Canis lupus familiaris: one gene and its partners. The protein of the gene in region 3 purifies or fractionates together with the protein of the main gene of each other region. This does not show direct contact. Links are inferred from orthologs where the notes say so. Each region holds a gene or a part of one and is shown on either strand. Other genes may lie near its edges.

What was found. The genes of interacting proteins can lie anywhere in the genome.
Region 1: the proteins of IKBKB (region 3) and CASP8 purify together in Homo sapiens (affinity purification with western blotting; 3 studies listed by BioGRID and IntAct, with this or other methods). This does not show direct contact. The link is inferred for Canis lupus familiaris from reciprocal best matches to the Homo sapiens genes IKBKB and CASP8.
Region 2: the proteins of IKBKB (region 3) and RIPK1 fractionate together in Homo sapiens (co-fractionation; 3 studies listed by BioGRID, with this or other methods). This does not show direct contact. The link is inferred for Canis lupus familiaris from reciprocal best matches to the Homo sapiens genes IKBKB and RIPK1.
Region 4: the proteins of IKBKB (region 3) and SRC purify together in Homo sapiens (affinity purification with western blotting; 3 studies listed by BioGRID and IntAct, with this or other methods). This does not show direct contact. The link is inferred for Canis lupus familiaris from reciprocal best matches to the Homo sapiens genes IKBKB and SRC.

What each region holds. Positions count from the first base shown.
Region 1 is NC_049258.1:10,247,572-10,251,573, forward strand, and holds the start of CASP8 (caspase-8), read left to right. Parts: upstream 1-1,202; 5' UTR 1,203-1,210; coding exon 1,211-1,515; intron 1,516-4,002. UniProt on the Homo sapiens protein: Thiol protease that plays a key role in programmed cell death by acting as a molecular switch for apoptosis, necroptosis and pyroptosis, and is required to prevent tissue damage during embryonic development and adulthood.
Region 2 is NC_049256.1:4,667,095-4,671,362, forward strand, and holds the start of RIPK1 (receptor-interacting serine/threonine-protein kinase 1), read left to right. Parts: upstream 1-1,468; 5' UTR 1,469-1,589; intron 1,590-2,558; 5' UTR 2,559-2,670; intron 2,671-3,105; 5' UTR 3,106-3,222; coding exon 3,223-3,334; intron 3,335-4,268. UniProt on the Homo sapiens protein: Serine-threonine kinase which is a key regulator of TNF-mediated apoptosis, necroptosis and inflammatory pathways.
Region 3 is NC_049237.1:24,100,695-24,104,194, reverse strand, and holds part of IKBKB (inhibitor of nuclear factor kappa-B kinase subunit beta), read left to right. Parts: coding exon 1-143; intron 144-317; coding exon 318-379; intron 380-1,433; coding exon 1,434-1,555; intron 1,556-2,891; coding exon 2,892-2,941; intron 2,942-3,048; coding exon 3,049-3,148; intron 3,149-3,356; coding exon 3,357-3,500.
Region 4 is NC_049245.1:26,537,332-26,541,499, forward strand, and holds the start of SRC (proto-oncogene tyrosine-protein kinase Src), read left to right. Parts: upstream 1-1,368; 5' UTR 1,369-1,442; intron 1,443-4,168. UniProt on the Homo sapiens protein: Non-receptor protein tyrosine kinase which is activated following engagement of many different classes of cellular receptors including immune response receptors, integrins and other adhesion receptors, receptor protein tyrosine kinases, G protein-coupled receptors as well as cytokine receptors.

The sequences.
Region 1 (4,002 bases), on a different chromosome or scaffold from region 3:
CACTTGATCATTACCTCAAGTAATAGAATCAGGACTTGTGTTTTCATCCAAAAAATGTTAGCCAGTGCAGGGAACTGCCTCTAGAGTCAGGTGATCCTGAGGCCTTTGGGGTATAGCACTGCGGCGTGTCTTCCCAGCACCATTGTTTCAGTCAGATCCCATTCTTTCTCTGGCCTCTAGTCCTTTTGGCCTATCCTCCACACATATTTTTAAATTTTAATTTAAATTTTTTAAAAAATATTTTACTTATTTGAGAGAGAGAGAGCAGGGAGAGGGAGAGCGAGTGAGCACGTGTGCGGTGGGGAGGAGCTGAGGGAGAGGGAGAAACAGGCTCCATGCTGGGCAGGAAGCCTGATGGGGGGCTCTACCCCAGACCCTGAGGTCATGACCTGAGCGACAGGCAGATGCTCAACTGACTGAGTCACCCAGGCATCCACTTTTTTTTTTAAAGGGGTTTATGTATTTATTTGAGAGAGCCAGGTCACACAAGAGAGAGCATGAGTGGGGGGAGAGGCAGAAGGAACTGGAGAAGCAGGCTTCCTGCTGAGCAGGGAGACAGACCAGGACCCCAGGATCATGACCTGAGTGGAAGGCAGATGCTTAACCCACTGAGCCACCAGGCGCCCCTGTCCTCCACACTTTTCATGTTAATCCCAAACTGGATGACATTACGGTCCTTTCTGAGTTCCCCATCACCTCTAGGGTAAAGCCTGAGCCTTTGCCCTACAGCATGAGGCCCTTTGTAATGGTTCCTGGCCACAGCTTCATCCCTATTGCCACCACTTCCCCTCCCAGACACTCATGGTTACTTTGTTGGGCAAATTGTGCCTGCCTGAGTTGACTTGAACATTCTCGCCTCCATCTTCCACATACATTTTTTCCCACCTCCTTCCCACAGGTGCCTGCCATCCAGGAGGCCCTTTCCCCTGGCTATATTCCTACTGTGCCCTGGTTAACTCTCGAACCATTGGCTAATTTGTATATCTACCTTCCAAAATAGTGAGCTACTCAAGAGCAGAAACCTGTCCTATTTGTTTAGTTTTTTGTTTTGTTTCTTCCCTGTGTCCTCAGTAAGACATCTGGTGTGTAGTAGAGATAACAGCACTTGATGAAGGAATAGACCAGTAAATGGTACTTCTCTTCCTCATCTGAACATAATATTGTGTTTTGACCTAGGTTAACAACTACCTCGTCCTGACACTTGACCAACATGGATTTCAGCAAATGCCTCTACAATATTGGGGAACAGCTGGACAGTGACGAACTGGCCTCCCTCAAATTCCTGAGCTTGGACTACATCCCACAGAAGAAGCAGGAGCCCATCAAGGATCCCTTGATGTTATTCCAGAGACTCCAGGAAAAGAGAATGTTGGAGGAAAGCAACCTGTTCTTTTTGAAGGAGCTGCTTTTCCGAATTAATAGACTGGATCTGCTGATGACCTACCTGGACACCAGCAAGGAAGACATGCAGCAGGAGCTTCAGATACCAGGCAGAGCCCAGATCTCTGCCTACAGGTGGGGAGGATCTCCACGGTTCAGGCACTGGGAGGCGTGGGTGCAGTGGATGCGTGTCTGTGGGCAGGGCTGCTTGCGGCTGTCTGTGTGGTATGACTTTGGAAGTTCCTTGAAGATGTCCCACCAGGGCCAGATAGAGAAATTTAGAGAACTTGTATATAATTCAGTAAAAAAGTGAAGGCAGAAAATTAAAAAAAAAAAAAAAGTGTTTCCAAAGTGCAACGTTACCTGTAGGTGTGCTAAAATTAGAACAGTCGTCTGCTGGATGTTCTCTCTGTCTACCCTTCTGTTGCCTCTGCTCGGTTGATGTCTACATCGCGCGCTTACTTTGCTTATTTCTGGATGAAGCATCGCCCCTGCTTACCTGAAATCCCCCTCCACCTGCTTGTGGATGACTATGGAAACGCTCAGTGGGGTTTTAGGTTTTTATTTCACACTGAAAAACTTGCATCACAGTGTCCTCCAGAGAGAGGGATGTGCGGCCAGTATCCTGGACCAGCCAGGCTGTACCCCACAAGGACTGCCGAGTCCCTGGGGGCCCAGCTGCTGCCAGGAGAATGGTGGTAACTTCAGTCATCTGTCCTGCCCAACACCTTGCAGCTGGGTCTCTCCCTGCCTGTGGGATAGCGGGTACCCAGGGGTGATAACAAGCCATGTTCTGTTACGTTTTTATGAATTGGTAACAGATTTCTTTGTGTGTGTGTGTGTGTGTGTGTGTGCAAAAAGGTGATTTTATTAAAATATGGGCAGAAGGGGCTGCATGGGGTGAGTGATCATATATATAGGTAATAGACTTTAAAAACAGAAACACACTACCAACTTCTGTCTTTTAACATGCCCTGTTATCAGATACTCCCTAAAGTTATTTTTAGCTTCCCTTCTGAAAACTTCTACTCAAGCCTTAGCTGTGGCCCATTTCACCGGTCTCTTCTTTCTTGTCAATAATGATGGCATGTGTGTGACAGTAAGTCCTCACAGCCAGGGCTGTGAAAGCCACTATCCTCTACTTTTGTGGCCTATTTTTAAAAAAGATTTTATTTATTTATTCATGAGAGACAGAGAGAGAGAGAGAGAGAGAGAGAGAGGCAGAGACACAGGCAGAGGGAGAAGCAGGCTCCATGCAGGGAGCCCGATGTGGGACTCCATCCTGGGTCTCCAGGATCAGGCCCTGGGCTGAAGGCAGCGCCAAACTGCTGAGCCACCCAGGCTACCCTAGCGTGGCCTATTTGTGAATATAAATGTCTCTACCATGTTAAGCTGCCCAGTTTGTGGGACATTGTTACGGCAGCCTTAGGAAACTCATACACCCAGGACATCTCTTTTGCCACTTAAAATCAAAATTCTCAAGAAGCTCTAAGTAGAGAAACATATGATAAGGAACATGCCAAATCTTGGGTCTCTGAGACTATGGGCCAGGACATTCACGAATGTTTTTGTGTTGTTATTTTCCTTTACATAATAGTGGAAGGTTTGCTAACTTATTGAACTTTCCTTTGCTCCTTCAACAAATGTATCTCAAGAACTTATCATAGATGAAAAAATAATAATGCCTGTTGTGTATTGAACACTTAGCGTGTTGCCAGTTGGCTTCAACACGTCAGATAAACTTGTTCGTATTATTCTTAATATGTCCCAGTGGTATATAGTATTATCTACAAGTTTACAGATGAGGGAAAAGAGCGCATAACACGTCCAAAGTCACACGGCTCTGAGATGATGGAACCAGAGTTCCGAAATCAGTAGTCTAGGCCCCCTGCACTTACATACTTCACCTCGTGACCCCCTGGGCTTATGGAAACAAAAAGGGCACGAACCCTCCTCTCAAGGGGCTCAGAGGGCTTCCAAAGCAGACAATTACAACATGTATGTAAACTTTCTGGGGATACAAGGCACCGTGGGGTGAATGCATTCTCAAGCATACTCGGGCGGGACTCAAGCTTAGTGGGTGACTCTGTGTCTGCGGATGGACAAGGGAATGGGGATGTGAAAGCATAGATAAAGGTGGGGACAGGACAGCTGGGTGTGTTTGGGGGGTGGAGGGGGACTGGTGGTGAGGAGTCGCTAGAGAAGCTGAGGGGGTAGGCTGGACTCGCTGCACAGAGGTCTGTATTCCGGAACTGAGTGTTGAGCCTTCCTGTGGAAGTTGACAGCTAGGAGAGCGCTAACAAGTTTTAATCAAGGAAGTGATGATCCAGTTTGCATGTTGAAAAGCATAATTTCCAAAATAAAACTTTCATTTTTTTCTACTGCAATAAGTGACTTTATAGTGGAGGACCAAGGAAAAACAAAATTCATCTCACTGAAATTAACTGTGTGGCATAGTCAGTGGAACTGCAAATTCTGTTAAGGGTGGAGCATTGGGGCATGAGTCAGTAGTCTGTTATGTCCCTGCAGCAGCCTCTTTCCAAAGATTCAACTCATAAAGTATGTCATTAGCTGTCTTTAAGGAGTGGTGACCAGAATCAAGTTTCCACTGCAACTCCTTTT
Region 2 (4,268 bases), on a different chromosome or scaffold from region 3:
TTAATTTTTCCCACTCAGTTCCCCTCCTTTCCCCTATAATCCCTTTCACTATTTTTTTCTGTTCCCCAAATGAATGAGACCATAGAATGTTTGTCCTTCTCCAATTGACTTATCACTCAGCATAATCCCCTCCAGTTCCATCCATGTTGAAGGAAATGGTGGGTATTTGTCGTTTCTAATGGCTGAGAAATATTCCATTGTGTACATAGACCACAGCTTCTCTATCCATCATCTTTCGATGAACACCGAGGCTCCTTCCACAGTTTGGCTATCGCGGACTTTGCTGCTATAAACATTGGGGTGCAGGTGTCTTGACATTTCACTGCATCTCTATCTTTGGGGTAAATCCCCAGCAGTGCCACTGCACTTCAGCCTTGTTTTAACATCATGTTACCTCATAGGTTCATCTTAAATGTTTGTAATCAGTGTAATCAGCACATTTCTTTCATATTGTCTTTTCTCGTATGATTTCATACACACGTTTCTGTGACATTGTTCGTCTATTTAATATATAGTAGCATATACTAATGGACTGTAAAAAATAATTGGTTTTTTGTTTATTTCTTTATGCCTTCATTCAACAACAATTCTAGGCACCATGCTAGGTAGTAAGTAAGGATGTATATTATAATCATCGCCATCATCATCGTGTTCTGCGCTCAAAGAGCTTAACTTTATAGCATTTTAACATATTTCCATATTAGCGTGGAAGTTTTAGTTTTACAGGACAGAACACAATAGTAATACCCTTAGCACATGGGATGAAATCTTTCTTTAAAAGGAGGCTTCTTTTAAAATGATAGCTGTGCTGCAAAGCATAGTAGAAGGAATCCTGGTGACTACAGATGGTCCCCAACTTATGGTTCGACTTACGACTTTTTCACTTTACAATGGTCAAAAGCCATGGGCATTCAGTGGAAACCATTCTTTGAATTTTGAATTTGGGTCTCTTCCTGGGCTAATGATATGCATTATAGTCCTCTCTCATGATACTGGGGCAGCAGCCGCTGAGCGGAACCACAGCTCCCGGCCAGCTGTGTGATCACAAGGTAGACAGCCAACATGCTCGCGACCATTCTGTTACACAGCCATTCTGTTTTTCACTTGCTGTTCACTATCAGTCAGTTACTTGAGATATTCAACATTTTATTATAAAATAGGCTTTGTGTTAGATGATTTTGCCCAACTAAGGCTAATGTAAGCGCTCTAAGCAGATTAAAGGTAGGTTGGGCTAAGCTATGGCGTTTGGTAGGTTAGGTGTATTAAACACATTTTCAACTCATAATACTGTCAACTTGTGATGTGTTTATTAGGACATAACACAACTCCATTGTATGTCGAGGAGGATCTGGATATCCACAGGTTCAGACCCCACAACCTTGAATAAAACAGTTGCTTTGGCCTGTTTGACTTACCTTTCCATGTCATAGACTTAATGTCCCTTGTTTTAGGTCAGTATCCCCCTTTCTGTAAAAGGAAGGATAATTATGGAGACCATTGAAGGGATGTGCTACCTCCATGGAGAAGGCGTAATACACAAGGACCTAAAGCCTGAAAACATCCTTGTCGATGATGACTTTCACATTAAGGTAAATCAGAATCTGAAAGTTTCTAGAAGATTGGGGTGGTTTTGTTTTTTTCTTAAAGATTTTGTTTATTTGTGAAAGAGAGAGAGACAGAGACAAAGATAGCAACAGAGATAGCAGCAAAGAGCAGATTCCCGCCCTGAGCAGGGAGCCTGATGCAGGGTTTAACCTGAGATGGTCCTGGGATCATAACCTGAGCCAAAAGGCAGATGCTTAACCGACTAAGCTACTCAGGTGCCCCAGGGGGGTTTTAGTTTTAATTCTCTGCTATAAACCCATTTTTGTATGTGATAAACACTAAAGGAAGACCTCGCTCAGCTTAGAACTGGTGAACGGTGGTGCCAAGGATTCACAAGAAAGATACGGACTCGATGGAGTTCATATTATTTATTTTTTTATTAATGTTATCTACGTTTTTTATCAGTTTTTTTTTTAACTATAATTTATTCCATTGTAGTAAAGGGAACAAGGGGAGGGGATTTTCCTTTTGTTCACCCAAGAGCAGATTTAAGTAGGTGGAACATCACATCTAATTGGTTTTGGCAGCAGGAATCCAAGCACGAGAATCTGAAAGGGGAAGCAGCAATGGTGGGGAGCGCAGGAGCTGCTGACTCAGAGTCCCTCCACTATGAGATTCTGCTTCTAATGCTTCCTTCTAGTCTTGGACAGATTCTTATTCCTATAACTTTAAAAGGAAGTTTCCCTCTTTAACATTAAATCACTTATTTCTTATGTATCTCTTAGGTTAAAATCGGGGGATTTTAGATCACCACATGATCTACCCAAATGCTTGGATTCCTAGAGGCAAAAGTGAAACTGTTCCCTCTGATTTCTTCTTAACTGTATTGTTCTATCCTTCCCTGTTCTATCATTGCCCTGCCACCTCTCTCTTTGTTCTGTGTCTGACCTTTGTATTTTTCTTTTGGTTTCCTTGTTGGTTTTTCTCCTTCTTCCTATCCCATCTTCTCTCAGGTTCAGGCTACCAACTCAAAACAAGTAGCACAGCAGTCTGTATCCTCAGGACTTTGGAGTTCTTAGAATCTCGCATCCATGGGCTTCGGGACACCATTTGGGAAAATTGAAGGTGCGGTATCTAGTCCCCATGTGCTATACACATCTGCTGAGAAGACCCCTTTTCTTCCTAGCCCCAGAAATAGTTGAAAAAAAAGTATGCAGAGTAAATGAGGAATTAGAATAAACACGTTCTGCTGTAGTTCATGTCAGAAATGACTTCTGCTTTTCTTTTCCCTCCCCTTCCCCTAGCAAATTACATGGTTTTATTGCATAAGAATTCAAATACCAGAATTTCACATGGACACATCTTAGGGACATTTTCCAGATAGCTGAGGAAACAAAGTTTCTATGAACTTGTTCAGAAGTAGCTGTTTTAAATCTATCTAGTGGAAATTTCTGGAAATTCACTATACCTTGCATCTATTAGTTAAGCCCAACATTTAAAGACAAGTCTAATTTGCCTCTGGCTCTCATAGAACAATCACGTTGATTTGATCTCTTGCAGATAGCTGATCTTGGCGTTGCTTCCTTTAAGACGTGGAGTAAACTGACTAAAGAGGAAATTAATGAGCAGAGGAAATTGAATAGTGTCTCTAAGAAAAATGGTGGAACCCTCTGCTATATGGCCCCAGAGCATCTGAATGACATCAACGCCAAGCCCTCGGAGAAGTCAGATGTGTACAGCTTTGGCATAGTACTTTGGGCGATATTTGCTAATAAGGAGCCATATGAAAGTAAGACATTTATAGAGGAGTGGGATCTGGCTATTAATCAAAACTGCTGAGTGAAATATTGGCCTTCAATGAAGGCAGTTAGGATTTCCAACTGTTTGTTGTTTTAAGGTCTTTCTTACCCACGAGACCACAAGCTACACGAGGGCTAGGACCATATCTGATTTATTCAGCACTATTTCCCCAGTATTCATCTCACAGTGCCTGGAACACAGTAGGTGTGCAGTACCATTATGTTGAATGCATGAGTAATCTCGGTTTAGGAATCAGGGATCACAGGACACATAGGAGCCATGATGATGTGTCTGTATTTGGGAGGTGCTGTAAAATTCCAGGATTCTTCCTGGACAGGAAAACTTACTTCCTTCTGCTTATGAGGCATATACTTCATACTTTGATTCATTATTCACTTGCTCTTTCACTTGAGAATTTTCTTTTTAGTACTTACTAGGGGTACTTTAATCAGAATTAAGAATAAAAAGATGAGAACAGATACATGGAGATACAAGATACAAGAATAAAAAGATGAGAACAGGGCAGCCCGGGTGGCTCAGCGGTTTAGCACCACCTTTGGCCCAGGGCCTGATCCTGGAGACCTGGGATCGAGTCCCACATGGGGCTCCTTGCGTGGAGCCTGCTTCTCCCTCTGCCTGTGTCTCTCTCTCTCTCTTTCTCTCTCTCTGTGTGTCTCGAATGAATGAATAAATAAATAAAATATTTTTTTTTTTTAAAAAAAAGATGAGAACAGATACATGTTCATGGAGGAGAATGGATACAAAAGTATATATATACATATATATATATACACACATCTTCAGTTTGTTAAATGTCTAAATTAATGGACATTTTCCATTTCTATTTTCTTGGGTGATTATCAGCTCCCCCAGTTTAATGATCGATCACCCATTGCCAGGGCCTCTCAAATCTCTTATCTCTA
Region 3 (3,500 bases):
CCTTCGGAATAATAGCTGCCTCTCCAAGATGAAGAATTCTATGGCTTCCATGTCTCAGCAGCTCAAAGCCAAATTGGATTTCTTTAAAACCAGCATCCAGATTGACCTGGAGAAGTACAGTGAGCAAACTGAGTTTGGAATCAGTGAGTGTACTCTTTCTGCCATGAGCTTGGAGAGACCATTTCTTGCTTTCTTTTTTTTTTTTTTTCTTCTTGAGGTTTCTTTTGTCTCTTACAATTGAGTTGTTTGTTTCTATTTTGTTTTTGTGGTGTTTTCATTTTGTTTTTTTCTTCCCCCCCTACAATTTTTTTTTCCAGCATCAGATAAACTTCTGCTGGCCTGGAGGGAAATGGAACAGGCCGTGGAGCTCTGTGGGCGGGTAGGACACTCAATTTAAATTCCTGTCCTTACAGAGGGGGGCTGAGGCTTCCCACTACCATTTCTCACTCTCTCCTCAAACACTAGGTCTGTTTGTATGTCCGGAATCAGGTTGTCCTCATCCTGCTTTCTGACCTTAACTAGGACTTGCTGGGGAAAAGGCCAGGTTGATATGCAGTACAGGGGCCCCCTCAATGGCAGATGTGGAAGCTATCTGGACCTGGTACAGATTTGAACAAGGAGCCAAATGCGAAGGATCCTTGTGGGAGGCCTAGACTTCTTCCTATTAGAAAGGGCCTTATATGAATAGTCAACACTCCATCCTGCCAGGGGTTTGGCCTATTTTGTTGGGACGCTAAATCCATAGAGAGAAGTCATCTAGGCATAAAGTCTTAGAACAGCAGAAATCCAGTACCCACTGAAAAATGTTAATTGTGAGGTAAGGGAAGTAAGTATAGCTTAGTGGACCTCACACAAATCAAAGACTGAATGCTCCAAGGCCTTTTCTGGACTTTTCATTTTCTGCTGAGAACTTGGGGAGGGACCTTCACTTCTGTGTCTTCACATCAGTTTCTATGCACCAATACTGACGTGTATGTATAAGGTGAGTATGATATAGATAATAACTCACCTAACCACAGAGGCAGTGAGTGTACACTGGCACTTATGTACATAAACTATGAAACACAGGCACCCAGGCCTCTCCACGTGGGATAGACAAAGGGGAGAAAGGAATACATATGGGGCATCTTCTTTGTTCTGGGCACCGGGCTGGATACTTTATACACCGTATCTTGTCTGGGCCCTAAAATGGCCTCATTAGAGGATTATTTTATGGCAGAGGAAACTGTAGCTCAGGGCTTAGGTGATTTGCCCACGGGGTCACACAGCCAGAAAGTGATAGACCTGAGATCCAAACTCAGGCCATCTGACTCCAAAGTCTGTATCCCTTCTAGCCGGTCAGTTGAGAGTCTTCAGTGAGTTTGGGAGGGCGACTTGCCCGCCAAATCCTGCACCTCAGAAGGCTCTTATTACGTCAGTTGACATGAGCACAGCTTTTTCATCAGGAGAATGAAGTGAAGCACCTGGTGGAACGCATGATGGCACTGCAGACGGACATCGTGGACCTGCAGAGGAGCCCGATGGGGCGGAAGCAGGGGGGGACGCTGGATGACCTGTGAGTACCAGCTGGCCAGTGGACCAACCCGCACACGCCCCAGCCAAGTTTCCATATGCGTCTGGGAATTGTCCAAGGGTGCAAGTGTGGTTATTATGGAAGCTGTAGGAGACCATTCTATAGAGAATGACCCTCTGGTGGAGCATATTGGCATGTTCCAGAGGAGTGCCAGGGATGAGCAAGGGCAAATCACCATCACTGTCAGCCTTCATTTCCATATCTATCGAGTGGCAAGAAGAACTGTCAGCCCTCACAGAGTTGTGATCAATTCAGATGACTCAGGTAGAGCAGGGGTTCAAAAACTGTAAAGGCTGTGATGGAAGCAGCCTTTGCCGTGGCTTCAGACATCACTGTTCATACCTCCTGCCGTGATCCAGTTGTGGCTCGAAGAGCAGAAAGTAGAACAGAGGAGGAGCCTCGCAGGGCTTAAGAGTTTGAATCCAGAAACTGTTCATTTGAGTCTCTATGAGGAATTTGGCCTTGGCTGTAGGGGGTGATAAGGTGTCCCCGCCAAGCCGTCTGACCTGAAGGGAATCAGACCTGAAGGGAAACACGGAGCTCCCAGGGTGCAGGTGGGCGGGCAGCAGACGAGTTGCATCACACACATGGGAGCTCTCACTTGGGCTCAGCAGGGTCCTCTGATGCCTTTACTAGAGTTCTCAGGACCAGAATCTCAAACGGGAAATCTCATGATCCGGATTCTGTGTTTTCTCCAATTATTTAACCCTTTATTCTCCTTTAGTTTTCAAATAAGTCACCTCTGAGAATGTCAGTCACTTTCACTGTGCCAAGGCTGGAAACGGTTAGGAGATTCTGTTGCCCTTGGGCTTGAGTTTCAAGGAGGCCGTTTGCTCTCCAGGTTATGGCACTGGAGTCACTATTGCAGAAGCCACGTGGACAGGAAATTCCAAGGGACAGAGTAGAAACTCACTTCCTTGAGACTCTCGCTCATTAAACCTTAGAGATGGTTCAGGTTTAATAATGAGGGCCATCGTTGCCTTGTTATAGGCATCACCTGGAATAGCTCCAGGGGTAATAATTCCCTCCAATCAAGGCGTAATGCCCATCTTCTATTTTTTAAAATTAATTTATTTTTTCATGAGAGAGAGAGAGGTAGGCAGATAGAGAAAGAAGCAGAGAAAGAAGCAGGCTTCATGCAGGGAGCCCGATGTGGGACTCAATCCAGGGACTCCAGGATCATGCCCTGGGCCAAAGGCGGGTGCTAAACCACTGAGCCACCCAGGCATTCCCTGTCTTGCTTCTAAAAGGCACTCATTGTACTGGCAGGAATTACCTACCTGGTGTTTTAAATGTATTTCTTCTTCCTGTGTTTCAGAGAAGAGCAGGCGAGGGAGCTTTATAGGAGGCTTAGGGAAAAGCCCAGAGGTAAGTGGGGCTTCTGTGGGCCATGGGTGCCTTGTTTTGTGAGGTGTGCAGCGTTGGCGCTCTGCTGGCCACCGGGAAGAACTGTGCAGCTCCTTCCCTCTTTCCAGACCAGCGAACTGATGGCGACAGTCAGGAGATGGTCCGGCTGCTCCTGCAGGCCATCCAAGGTTTTGAGAAGAAAGTGCGAGTGATTTATACGCAGCTCAGGTATCTGCCCTGACCTTCCTGCCCAAGGGTGGAATTCGGAGAAACTGCTAGGCCTCACATGAGGTCTTTTTCTGGCTCCCCTCTGACTTGCTTCACCTGGAGAAAATTTATCCACAGCTGCTGTCGGATTCCTAGTTACCAGGGATTGTGTTCTTCCACTTTCTCCAACCCCAGTGCCACTGGAGTTTGTCACATTTATTCTTTACAGTAAAACTGTGGTTTGTAAGCAGAAGGCTCTGGAACTGTTGCCCAAGGTGGAAGAAGTGGTGAGTTTAATGAACGAAGATGAGAAGACTGTTGTCCGGCTTCAGGAGAAGCGGCAGAAGGAGCTCTGGAACCTCCTGAAGATCGC
Region 4 (4,168 bases), on a different chromosome or scaffold from region 3:
GCCGAGGCCTGGTGCTGTTTGACCTGGATGGGCCTTAGTTTCCCATCTGTGAAATGGGAGAAATTTCAAAGAAGGAGAGACAAAACAGGGATGGTATTTAAAGCTGGATTCACACTCACCCTTCCCTATGCCATGATTCCAGGAGGACTAGTGAAGAGCCAAAAGTGGGGTGCAGTTTTGGAGCATGGGGTGAGATTGTTGGCATAGTGTTTGCAGAAGCCTTTGTGGCCTAAAGCAGCATTTCCTTATTGTCCCTTTTCTTTGCTCTACTCCTTGCCCCCTGCATCCAGATATAATTTGCCTCTTTATTTTCTGGGAAGTGTGATTGCCACTAAATACTGGCTTCAGCCCCCTCATAAGCAGGAATATCTAAAACTCAATGACTTCTGATAAGCTGCCTTAGTTACTGTTTTGTTTTTTAAATGCACATTAAAATGAACATATATCAGGGCACCTGGGTGGCTCAATCAGCTAAGTACCTGACTTCAGCTCTGGTCATGATCTCAGGCCCTGGGATGGAGCCCTGCCTGCAACTGGCTCCCTGCTGAGCAGTGAGTCTGCTTCTCTCTCTCCCTGTGCCCCTCCCCCTCCCCCTGCTCTCTCTCTGAAAAGAAATACAATCTAAAAAAATAAAATAAAATATAAAATGAACGTGTATCTATTAAAATAAATGTTGCTCTTCCCTACACTGTTCCTCCTGCCCCGGTCCTTGCTTTGGGAAACTCAAGTCAAGGCGGGTCCAAGGCCTGGTTCTCCTCAGGTGACTTCCTTCTCTGTGCCTCAGTTTTTCATCTGTAAAATGGGGATAATCATCAGCCTGCCCAGCCTAGGTGTTGTTAGGAATAGAGCCTTTTAAAAGTCGACCTGAGCCATTGGCATGGTGCCTGGGAAAGAGCAAAGGCTCCGTTAGCGCTGACATTATTATTCTTATTACCGGTAATTGAGGAAGAGGTGGATTTGGGGTCAGCAGGACGGGTGCTTGGGCCCGGTTAGGGAGGGCATTTTGGCTGGGGGGTATTTAGGGGTCCCACAGGGTGGGGCGCTCTCACGGGTCGGGGTGGGGGCAGGGTTTCTGTGTCCCCGCCCCCCGCCTGCCCCTCCGCACCCCGGCTCCTGCGGCTCCTGCGCCCACGGGGTGGGGCCCGCGCGTGGGTCTCTCCCGGGTCACCGCGGGGAGTCGGGCCCCGCACGCTTCCTCCTTCCTCCTCCCCCCGGCGGCCGGCCGGGCCCCTCCTCCCCGCTCGCGCGCTCCCTCCCTCCTCTCCCCTCCCCGGCCGCCGCCGCCTCCTCCTCCCTTTCTCTCCCGATCTGTCTCTCCCGGCCCGGAATCCATTCCGGCCTGGGAGCCGGAGCGGCCAGGCCGCCGAGTGCCCGACCCCGCCGTCCCGCGGTCCGCCCTCCCGCGCGTCCGTCCGCCCGTGCGCCGCCGCCCAGCGGCCCAGGTGAGCGCCCCCCGCCCCTCCGCGGGCCCCGGTCCCCGCCGGCCCGGGGGAGCCCCGCCCGGACCCCGTGGCGTCGGAGGGCGGGCGGCGGGGGGCTCGGGGCCCCGCTCCGGCCTCGCCGGGTCCGAGGCGCGATCCCGGGGCGCTGGGCGGGCGCAGGGGGACCTGCCCGGCGCGGCCTTTTGTTGTGATGCCTTGGGGGGGAGGGGGCGGGCGGGGGCTCGGGGTCCGGCCGGCGCGGGGGCCGCCGCCGGCTCCCCCTTCCCCGGAGCCCCCGGAGCCCCCGGAGCCCCCGGAGCGGGAGCCCGGCCGAGCCCCCGGGCCAGGTCTAGGCCAAATCTGAAATCTGAGCCTGTCGGCGCCGCCTCTGGCCGCGGCTGCCGGGCCTGGCGCCCCCGGCCGGGATGGGAGGTGGAGAGGGGGCGGGCAGGGTGGGCCTGGGGGCGCCGAGCCAGGGGCGCGGGCCGGGGCCCCAGGACCACCCTGTCCTCCTGGAGCTTGGGGTAGGGCCTGGTGCCGCGGGTCTGGAAGGGACAGGGCCGCACTGTCGGTCCACTGCCCCCAGCCCCCAGCCTCGCCCCTGGCAGGCCCAGCCGCCTGCCTGCTCAGAAGTTGGCAAAAGTTTTGGGTTTTCTCCACCAGGCTGGGTCCATCTCCCTGCCTGGGCTTCGGTTGGGGGTGAGCTTAGGTGCCCACAGGGGCTGCCGCTTGCCCAGCTCTGTGTGGTCAGGCAACTGCCTACCCTCTCTGATCTGGGGGTCCTGATCAGTGGCAGGTGGGTCTGGCTGGGACTGCTGGGCTGGTGGAAGGATGACGGTAAACAGAAGAGGCTCACCTATGGGGTATCAGTTCTGCCTCTGGGGCCTTCAGGCTCACTGGCCGGTGGGCCGAACAAGTGAGGCTTGTCAAGTGGGGCTTCCTGAGCTTCAGGACCTCTACATTTGGGGCAGGGGTCCCTGGGTTACCTGGGATGAGTCCAGGCCCAGACACAGTGCTGCTGAGATCAGACTTGGTTTCAGGCATAGACCAGGCGGGTCCTGTTAGTGCCCCTCTTGTCAGCCTCCTGGCTGGACAGACAAGACTTCTTGTCTCCCTGGGTGACCTGGGCCAAGGGACTGCCCCTCTGAGCACCCACATGTGGAATGGGGGAAGAATATATGCACTTCTACGTGTAGGAGCTCAGTGTGTAGTAGGTGCTCAATAAATGAGTGCTTCACTGGATGAATTGCCTAAAATGGGAGGGGGCTGAGGGGGCTGGTCCCAGTGGGGCTTGTGTCCAGAAGAGGATGGATTGGTGTCCGAAAAGCCACCTGAGAGCCCCTTGAGAAACAACTCCAGCACCATCCTGCCACCCAGCAGCTGTGTGACCTCGAGCAACTCGCTGCCTCCTTGGGCCTCAGTCTTATTAAGTATAAAATAGGCCAAATGGAGAAACCGAGGCTCAGAGAGGGGAAAGGACTTGACCAAGCCCACACAGTTTGAAGCTGGAATGAGAACGTACACTTCAGAGACCCCAGTTTGGCTGCCCTTGACCCCTCCAGTGTGGGGGGAGCAGGGGTTTCTCAGTATGGGACGAGGCATGCAACGGTGTTAGACCATACAGATTGATGAGTGATTGCATGGAAGCCACGAGGTCCTCCTGGGGATGTGGTGATGTGGTGTGCCTCGGTGATGTGGTCTTTCCACCTAGGGAAGTGATTTACAGTGTGTCACCTCTCTCAGCTGACTGCCTGCCTAAGCCCTTCTGTGTGGCTCTTGGGCTTTTTTCCTCCTGTAGGTGTCCCTGCCAGGACTGCCCTCTCCTCTGTGAGCTGTTTATCTGTTCTTACTCTTGAAGACTTAGCTTCAGGCCCACCTCTTCCAGGAAGGCTCCCTGGCTCTGCCTCCCCTCCCCATCCTCTTCCTGGAGCATGAACTCTCCCCAGCTCACAGCACAGTGCCTGCTGTGGCTTCTTCCTGATTGTGACCTGGCGGGTGGGGGGGGATGTCTGGCTCCCGCGAGCCCCAGGAGCCAGGGAGGACATGGCTCAGTGACCTGCTGACAACACTCCCCAACCCCCTGGTCCTCGTTGATCCCATTTTCCAAACCTGCCCAGATGCAAACATCCGTGACCCTGTGTGAGCCTCTGCTATATGCTAGGAGCTTCAAACTCAGGCTGAGCAGTGTGGCGAAGGGGTTAGTAGTGGGAGTTGTAGGAGGCATCAGGGGGCTTCCAAGAGGTGAGGGAGGGCAAGAAGTTTGCTCAACAAAGAAGGAGGGAGGGTGCTCTTTCTTCTATTCGGACACTTCCCAGGGTTGCTGGGATTGTGGAGGTGGTCATCCTGCTGCAGAATTGTGAACAGGTCCCTGGCCTCCTAGATATTTGAGTCTAGAGGGTGAGCCAAATAGCAAACAAGTTACCAAATAAATTAATATATAATCACAGATGCGATAAGGGCTCAGAGAGAGAGGCGTGGGGTGCAGAGGAATTTTGAAGGAAGTATGTAGGAGTTGGCCAAGCATGGAGCTGGGGAAGGGCTTGTCAGGCAGAGAGAAATGCATGTGCAAAGGCCCTGAGGTGGGGAAGTGTGTGTTATAGAGAAACGATGGGAAAGCCTCTGAATTCGGAGCACAGAGAATTAAGGAGAGTGGGTGAGAGGTGAAGTAGGGGGTGTTTTGGGGGGTAATCACTCATATGGCTGGACCATATGGAGCTGTGTGGGCCTTGGGGATGAGTTTGACCTTC